Linked DNA regions of Canis lupus familiaris. The protein of the gene in region 2 purifies or fractionates together with the protein of the main gene of each other region. This does not show direct contact. Links are inferred from orthologs where the notes say so. Each region holds a gene or a part of one and is shown on either strand. Other genes may lie near its edges.

Region 1 (3,798 bases), on a different chromosome or scaffold from region 2:
AGAGAGAGAAATAAAGCAGAAAATGAGTCCCAGAATGAGCAATGCAGCAACATGCAAGTTACTAGTAGTAACTTGGGGACCTCCGTTTCCGAGGAAAATGAAGTGAAGCATAAGAATGAAACCAATTAGGTGACATTTGAACTTCCTGCCTGAGCAAATTTGGCCTGATTGCCAGAATCCAAGAATACTGCAATTTCCACAGGGTGCCCGACTCCTCGCGGCCGCATCTGATCCCCAAACAAGCCGCCCGCAGCGGTGTCTGCAGCCAGCAGCCCCACGCCGGCTCAGGCCTCCCGGGCTGCGCCCCAAGTCCGACCCGGGCCGCGCTCTCCAAGCGAGCGAGCGGGTCTAAGGCTGCCGCGGCGCGAGAGGCGGGGGAGGGTGGAAAATGCGAACCATGTGTTGGGGATGGGGGGATGTTATGGGTCTGGTAGTTTGAGATGAGGCAGGAGACTGTGTGTGGCAAGGAAACAGAGGGCATGAATTTCAAGTTAATGAGATCAGGACACCCCCTGGGAGGACTCCTTCGTTTCGAAAGGAAAAAGCCTCAGGTGGTGGGATAGGCGCGGGCCCCGAGGCCGCAGATACGGAGACACCAGCGAGGGTGCAGAGGAAGGCTCTGCACACCCACACGTCCGGCCCCCGAGCCCTTACCTTGGTCGGTGATAGAGCGAATGCCCAGGATGTCGGTGACGGAATGGGAGGAGGGCCAGGTACGGGGCATGGCCACCGAGCCGGGGATGGCAGGCACCCCGGGAGGCGTGGGCACCTTAGCTGCGGCCGCCGTGATGGGGCTGGGGTACGAGTAGATGTGGTTATAGGGCAGCGCCGGCTGTGGCGCCGGCTGGTGCTGCTTGTACGAGTCGTAATGGCCCTGTTGAGCCAAGTTGCCGATCTTGTTGCGCAGGATGCGGCTGATGGAGCTCACCGAGGGCACGTTGTACTTGTCACACACGCCGTCCGCCAGCAGGCGGTCCCGGATTTCCCAGGCAAAGATGCCAGGATCCCTTTGCTTGTAGGTCCGGATGTGCTTCACCACGGTGGGGGTGGTAACTCGGGGCTTGCTGCCCCCAATGGCTCCTGGCAAGATCGAGCCCGTCTCGTTGTAGCGCGCCAGAATCTTGCTGACGCAGCCGTGTGAGACCCGTAGCTGGCGGCTGATGTCACACGGTCTGATGCCCAGTTGGGCCAGTTCCACGATACGAAGCCGGATAGCGTTGGGCAGCGGCCTCCCGTTCACGAATACTCCTCCCAGCTGGTTCACCTCCCCAAAGGCTGGCTCTGCAAAACCAACACGCGGCGCGCGGGGACGCGCCCCGGCAGTTTGGGACAGCCGGTTACCACTCGGCCTCCGCCCACGTCAGGGGGCTGGGTAGATGCACCCACCCCCGGCGGGGAACCTGGGCTTTTCCCAAACCCTACTGTCCCCGAGCCTTGCCCAACAGCCCCAAACCACTAAGGTCGAATCGGACACCCTCCCTCCCTCCCCCCACCCCGTTCCGGTGGTGCCTGCGGCCACTACAAGCAAATAAAGTGGTGAGAAGCAAGGCCGCTCCAAGTGCTCAAAAGCCTCCGAAGCAGGCGGGGAAATCAGTCTTGACGCCTGCAACCGGCTCCTTCTCGGCTGCTCGGCGCTAAAAGTCTTTGGGCCGCTACCGCTTGAGCCCCAGCGCCCGGCCTGGGGACCGGCGCAATTAGGCAAGGTCTAGGAGAAACTACGGTTGGTTTGGTTGTTTTGTTTTGGTTTGGTTTGGTTTTTTCCTGTTCTGAGTTGTGTGAGTTTATGTGAAACAAAACTTGGTCCGCCACCGAGGCTACAGGGCTTGCTGATGCCACCGCTCCCTTGTTTTAAGATCAGAAAATGGCATCAACAGCAACCCAGTAGCCAGCGTTCACACACTGAACTGCCGTGCGCCCTGACCCTTAGCGCGTTCCTAACAACTTGTAGGAACACGAGCAAAGTCAATAAGAAGAGTGTGAGCGCTCAGCGGTGCGCGCCCTCGCGCTCCCTCCCTCCCTCCCTCGCCTTCTCCTTCCCTCCCTCCCTCCCCGGCTCTGACAGCGTTCCCCGCCGCCACTCACCCATTGCTCCGAGCAGTACACCAAAGGGGCCCCAGTTCCGAACTCCCAAAAAGAAACTTTTCGCACAGCCCCAGTGGCCCGGCTTGCCGCTGCCCCGGACCGCCGGTGCCTCCGCTTCTTCCCGGGAGGAGGCGGCGAGAGAGCAGAAGGAAGGAGTAAAAGGAAGTCTGTGCCCCGATGAAAGAGGCTAGAGTTCTGCATTTCAATCTAAGCAGCAACGTGGGCTGGCCCGAGCTGGGCCGGGCGGCTCCGTCTATCACTCACCAGGGACACGCCCTCAAAGAGGAGGGCCCGAGGTCAAGCTGCGTGGTGATTGGTGCGGGCTGCTGAGCGACAGTGCAGTCCGGGAAAGTTCTTCCGCTGTCTCTTTCAAGCTTGCTCTGCACCTGGGTGACTAAATACAATGAAAATGGATGTTTGACACCTTTCCGGCGGCAGCGCAAACAGACAACAAAATCAGGCTGATAAAAATGCTGAATAAGCAAATGAAAGCGTTTAGTCTGAATAGACTAAGGAGGAAGGAGTTGAGGAAACTTGGCGGGAGGGGGGAACAGACGCCTCCGAACTGAAGGTAGAACTCTAGGTGAGAGGTGGGGGCCACCGTCAGGTGTGTGTGTGTCGGGGGGGGGGGGTATTCTTAGAATAGCCGGTCCTGCGGGCCTCCTGGGGCTGTCCGGAGATGGACGCTATTACAGGAGGATGATACCTCACTCCAGCCTATGCTAGGTAGCTAGAGCGCAGGTGAGTCGGTAGGCCGATCCGAGAGACCAGGAGGTTAAGGGGAGACCGAGCCAGAGGTGGAGGCCACTGTGACCGCCAGGTGGAGACCCCTCTGCTGCCCCTGGGACTACCCCGCCCCCAACGCAGTTTCTGGTGGGTTCATTCGAGAGCGCGGAGGCAAACCCTAGCCACGCAGGCTCCAGGCTGTGGCCGCACACGGTTCGCGGAGAAGTTAAGCAGCTCCCAGCCAACATCGAAGATTGCCTGGCTCGAGGCACTCTCCTTGGAGGCCTGCGCGCCACTGCGCTCAGCTTCGGTGCTGGACTGCTGGTACTTGATGCCACGGTTTGCCGGTTTCCCCCCCAACCAGTGAACCGCAGCAAAAGGGTCTTATTTAATGAAAGAGATTGGTCCCAAGAAAGTTGAACATCGAGCCTGCACCTACATGCAATTCCCCCATCTTCTGTTTAGCTACCAGAGGCCCTGAGAATCAGCCTACTTCTGATTTTTCACTTTCGATCACTCCAAGTCTAATCTAAAGTGTACATTACTCTTTTTGGCGGCCAAAATTAATCACATTTTGAATATGGGTTGTGGAGAATGCTAATCAAAATTAAAAACAAGATGGGAGACATCTTTAGAACCTGGGTGTTTGGACTGCTTAGGTTCAAGGATACTAGACAGTCATAACATTACTTCTTGTGCACAAGGATTCCTGTTGATCCTCCCACAATCCCAAGGGATGTGTATGGCTCTGGTCTACCTACAGGGAAGCTGACTGGGCCCAGATTCTGGGCCAGTAAGTGACAAGAAACCAGAAGAATGAATGGTCATCTCTGCTTTTTGAAATGAAGAGCCACCTCCAGATTTTCAGGCTTCTGTGGTTGGGGCCACAGTCTGACTTCAAATTTACAGGTAAGAAGGATTTAAAAGATACAGATACATTCAAACACCCTTAACTGTTTATAATCGGGTTCTTGCAAAAAGTCTTACAAT
Region 2 (4,500 bases):
GCTCCTCCCTGCTCCTAATGGTAGAACCCGCAGGCGCACTCAAAGACGCTGACTGTGTTAACACACTTGAAAGTTTTTCGCTTTGGCTATAAAGATGAAGGGATCAAAATAATGACCCACAGAAAGTTAAAGCTGAAAAAATGTGTTTACTGTGCCATCTGGGGTTTGATTTAAATCTCTTATTTTTGGACACTGGCAAAGAAGAAATATGTGGAATCTGCCTATCTATGGCCAAATGTTAGGCGTTTGAGGGCAACAAAGAAAGTCATTAAAGCCATCAAGTATATTCCAATCAAACTTGAGAGACCCAAAAAAGTATCCACCGAGCAGCCAACTATTTTTTGCCTAATGGTTACACTCCTAATATTAATCATTTCCAAATACCACAAAGCAAGATGAAAATTTGTCCTTAAAAAGACATCTAAGCACATCAAGGAGGAAATGAGAGTGTACATTTTAAAGGCAGCAAAACCAGAAGTCGGACTAATTGTAAGTTTAAAAAAAATTTTTTTTTTAAAGCCCAGGAAATAAATCTGGTTGTCCTACATACTTGATGTAATCTGAAAGACGTTTATGTTCCCCTTTAAACTTTCAATTCAGGATCTAAGTCTTTTGAGCGTGTTCCCTTCACCGCATTTACCTCACTAGATCCTCACAAATTTCCGTGAAGCCCAAGTTTGCAGAGGGACGAGAGTTCGGGAGCCTCACGGAGAGCAGCCACGGACGCGACGTGTGTAAACACCATTAATTAAAGATACGGAGATGAGGGCAGGCGCAACCCGCTGCGGGGCTCCTCCCCGGCCCCGGCCCCGGCCCCGGCCCCGGCCCCGGCCCCGGCCCCGGCCCCGGCCCCGGCCCCGGCTCGCCCGGGAGCCGCCGCCTCCGGACGTCACGCACACAAGTCGGAGCAGCGCGGGCGCCGCAGGCCGGACGGCGGAGTTCCCGGGCCCTGGGGTCTGCGGCCACTTGCCCACAGCCTCGTGAGGCAGGCCCCGGGCGGTCCCTGACCCTCGTCCCAACGAGGCGCTTCCCGGGCTCCAACTTCTGGGAAGATCCCTTCCGCGCTCCTTCCAACGGGCGCTGCCCGGGCGGCACAGAGTTCGCCACACAAAGGACGACGGGAGCCCCGGGCACGAGGGTCTCCAGCGCGGCCTCCCGGCGCCCCCTCACCCGCCGGCCTCGACGCCCTGCTCGCCTCACAAGATGGTGGCCGGCGTGCGTGTGGCAGCGGGAGGCAGGCCGAGGACGGCGCCCCGGGCTCCTCCCGCCGCGAGGCGAGGCGAGGCGAGGCGAGGCGAGTCAACCCACAGGACTGTGGGTGCTCGGCACACTCGGGGCGCCTTCCCGGCGGGGCACAGGCTCAGCTACGCGGCAAGGCTGAAAGGCCAGCTCGGCGCGGCCGCCTCAGCCTCCTCGGCCCCTTCAGCAGCCTCGGCCACCTCATCCACCTCAGCTACCTCGGCAGCCACCTCGGCCGCCTGATCCACCTCGGGAGACAAACGGTGTATTTTCAAACGTTTCCCCCGGACGAGCGGACGAGCGGGCCAGCCGTCTTCCGGGGCACGGATCTCATCTCCGTCTTCAAACTTGTCCGAGAACCACCAAGGCGGGGAGCCTGCGTTTAATTTGGGGGAGAAAGGAGGCGGGAGACAGCAGGACCCCCGCCACTGAAGTGTCACTACAAAGGGCGAGCCGGGCGGGGGCGGGGGCGGGGGCGGGGGTCTCCGACGGCAGCCCCAGCGGCCCCCGCCCCGCCCGGCCGCAGGCTCAGGCTCTCAGGCTCCGCGGGGCCGCCAGGTGGGCGGGGGGCGGGGGCGTCGGCGCGCGCCCAGTTCCGGGTGGGGGCGGGGCGGGGCGGGAGGCCGGCGCCCGTTGGAGCCGTTAGCGAGGACTCCGCGCTCGCAGCCCCCGCGCCCCGCGCCCCGCGCCCCGCTCGCGGCTCCGGCGGGGCGCACCTCGGCCTCGGGCGCGGGCCTCGGGCCCGACACGTCCGCCGCCCCCCAGCCGGGCCCCCCGCGCGGCGCCGGCCCCCCGCCCCCCCGGCGCCCCCCGCACACTTACGGCCCCCGCAGCGGCCGCTCGGCGCCCTCCCCGCGGCCCCCCCCGCCCCCGGCAGCGCGGGGCGCCCCCTGCGGCGGCCCGGCCCGGGGGACCCAGGAGGCCGGGGCCCGGGGGACAGGGGGCGCCCCCGCCTGCAGGGTGGGGCGCCCAGGTGAGGGCCGCTCCGGGCCGCCGCCGCCGCCACACAAAGGACCAGGGGCTCCCGCCGCCATATTGAAAACTTTCGTCCGCGCACGACAACTCGCGAGTCCCCCACCCCCACCCGGCGCGCACCCCCGCACCCGGCGGAGGCGAGCCCCGGCCCGCCGAGCCGCGCCGCCCGCCGCCGCCGCCCCCGGCAGGAAGCGCCCCGCGCCCAGCGCGGCCGCCGCGCCGCCCGGAACCGAACCCGAACCCCCACCCCCGGGCCGGGCCGCCCTCCCGTCCGCCCGGGCCCGCGGGGCGGCCCCGCCGAAGCGCCCGGGAGGAGCCCCGGCCCCCGCCCGCGGCCTCGACGCCGACCCCGGGGCAGCCCCGAACTTGCCGCCGCCCCCGCCCCCGCGCCCCGGGCCTCCCCGGCCGCGCGTCCTCGCTCCCCGCCCGGGCCGCGAGCGGGCTCCGGGGCGCCGGCGTGACTCACCGGCGGCGGCCGCACCTTACAGATCCCCGTCTGCTCGGCGATGGGCCGGATCTTGTGGATGAAGGCGAAGGGGTCGGCGAACTCCTCCCAGCTGGGCTCGAAGACCGGGCACTCGGGGGGCGGCAGGAACTCGCCCAGCGGGCCCGGGCCGCCGAGGGGCAGCGCGGGGCGCGGGCCCGGGGGCAGCGCGGCGGCCGGCTCCATCGCCGCGGGGCGGCTCCGGCGGCGGCGGGTCCCACTTGTACTCGCAACGGCAGCACCTTGGGCTTTTTCAGCCTTCCTCCGACGACGTCTCGCCGCTCCCCACGCCGTGCGCCTCCGCCGCCACGGCGAGGAAAAAGAGTCCCTCCCCGCCCCCCGCCCCCCCGCGCCCGGCGCCCGGCCCCGCCCCCGCACCGGGCGGGGCCGGGGCCTCGGGGCTGCGGGGCCGCGCGCCCGCGCTGCTCGCCGGTGCGCTGGGGCCGCGGCCGGTGCCCCCAGAAGTTAACGCGCGGGTGGAGGAGGAGTCGCGCCCGCACGCGGGGCAGGCGCCGCGACCCGAGGTCACACACTTGGGGAAACGCCGGGGACCGGCAGGCGGCGTTCGGCACTGGGGGGGGGGGGGGGCGGGGGGGCGGGGAAGGGTCCTCCAGGTGGGGGGAGCGCCTGGAACATACCAACAAAATGGAGGCGAGACAACAATGGTTAGGATGTTAGTAACCAGCCGGCCCGTGAGCGCTGGCCCGTCCCGGGCACCGCGTCTAAGCGCTCCGCAGGATGCGCCCCCGAACCTGCACGGCCACCCCACGGGGCAGGTCCCCTCCTTCCCACTTTACAGACAAGGAGTCGGGGAGGCCCAGGTCAGAAGCAGTTCGCCCAAGTTCGCACCGCTAACAAGTGCTGGAGACGGTCCCTGGGAGGGACGGGGGTCGCGGGAAGAGCGGTCCTCGAGCCGCACGATAGCGAGGTGGGCGCCAGGGAAGCAGAAGACAAAGTAATGTAGACGAGAAGGGGGTGCCGGAGTGAGGACAGCGGTGCTGTCCGTCAGGAAGGGGGATTCAAATGTAGGAGATCAATTAGGACCGCGACACATTGCGGAGGGACAGTAAGGTGTCCGGGATGACTCGGGCGTGGAGGGTCCGCCGCCGGAGTGGTTGCGGCCCGGCGGCATCGCTGCGGCATCCCCCAGCTTGTACACAGGAGATCAGCAAGAGAAGGGAGATAACGTGGTCCCTCTGGATGCGTTGAGTCTGGTCCGTCGGAAACCTTTAACAGGCCGGACGGCACAAATCTGGAGATCAGAAGTGGAGATGAGAATCTGGAATTCTTTAGCCTGTGAGTGGCAGCCATTATCTAATGCTCACTGTGTGTAACGCAAATGCTTTGCCTGCTCGTGTTGAATGTCCACACCATCCTGAGCGGTGGGTACTGCTATCCTCTCCATTTTGCGGAGCAAGCAATGCAGGCACAGAGAAGTAACTGTAAGAGATGTGAGCACTGTGGAGGCGGCAGGGAGGGGGGCAGGTTGAGTGCCTGGTGTCCTGCCCAGAAGAGGACAGAGGACATTCAACAAGTAGGACCTCAACACACACAGAAAGATCGCGCTTATCCAGCCCACCCCATGGAGGTGCCGCTTGGGTCAACAGGGTCCTAGCTCTGCCCTCAGGTTCACCTTGAGGAAGGAAGTCTCTCTGACCCTTAAGGATTCAATTTAAAAAGAGGGGGAGGGGAGAAGCCTGCTCTCCAGGAAGCCCCTCCCACAGGTACCTGGGCCCCAAGGAGTTCAAGAGGTCCTTGCAGAAGGTCCTCCTCCTCCTCTTAGCTCCCTGAGCCTGCTGGGC

Evidence for each region.
Region 1: the proteins of KDM5B (region 2) and PAX9 purify together in Homo sapiens (affinity purification with western blotting, with the first as the bait; 3 studies listed by BioGRID). This does not show direct contact. The link is inferred for Canis lupus familiaris from reciprocal best matches to the Homo sapiens genes KDM5B and PAX9.

What each region holds. Positions count from the first base shown.
Region 1 is NC_049229.1:15,387,350-15,391,147, reverse strand, and holds part of PAX9 (paired box protein Pax-9), read right to left. Parts: intron 3,718-3,798; exon of another isoform or gene 3,236-3,717; intron 2,477-3,235; 5' UTR 2,087-2,476; coding exon 2,083-2,086; intron 1,282-2,082; coding exon 655-1,281; intron 1-654. UniProt on the Homo sapiens protein: Transcription factor required for normal development of thymus, parathyroid glands, ultimobranchial bodies, teeth, skeletal elements of skull and larynx as well as distal limbs.
Region 2 is NC_049228.1:463,189-467,688, reverse strand, and holds the start of KDM5B (lysine-specific demethylase 5B), read right to left. Parts: upstream 2,900-4,500; 5' UTR 2,885-2,899; coding exon 2,681-2,884; intron 781-2,680; exon of another isoform or gene 641-780; intron 1-640. UniProt on the Homo sapiens protein: Histone demethylase that demethylates 'Lys-4' of histone H3, thereby playing a central role in histone code. Does not demethylate histone H3 'Lys-9' or H3 'Lys-27'. Demethylates trimethylated, dimethylated and monomethylated H3 'Lys-4'.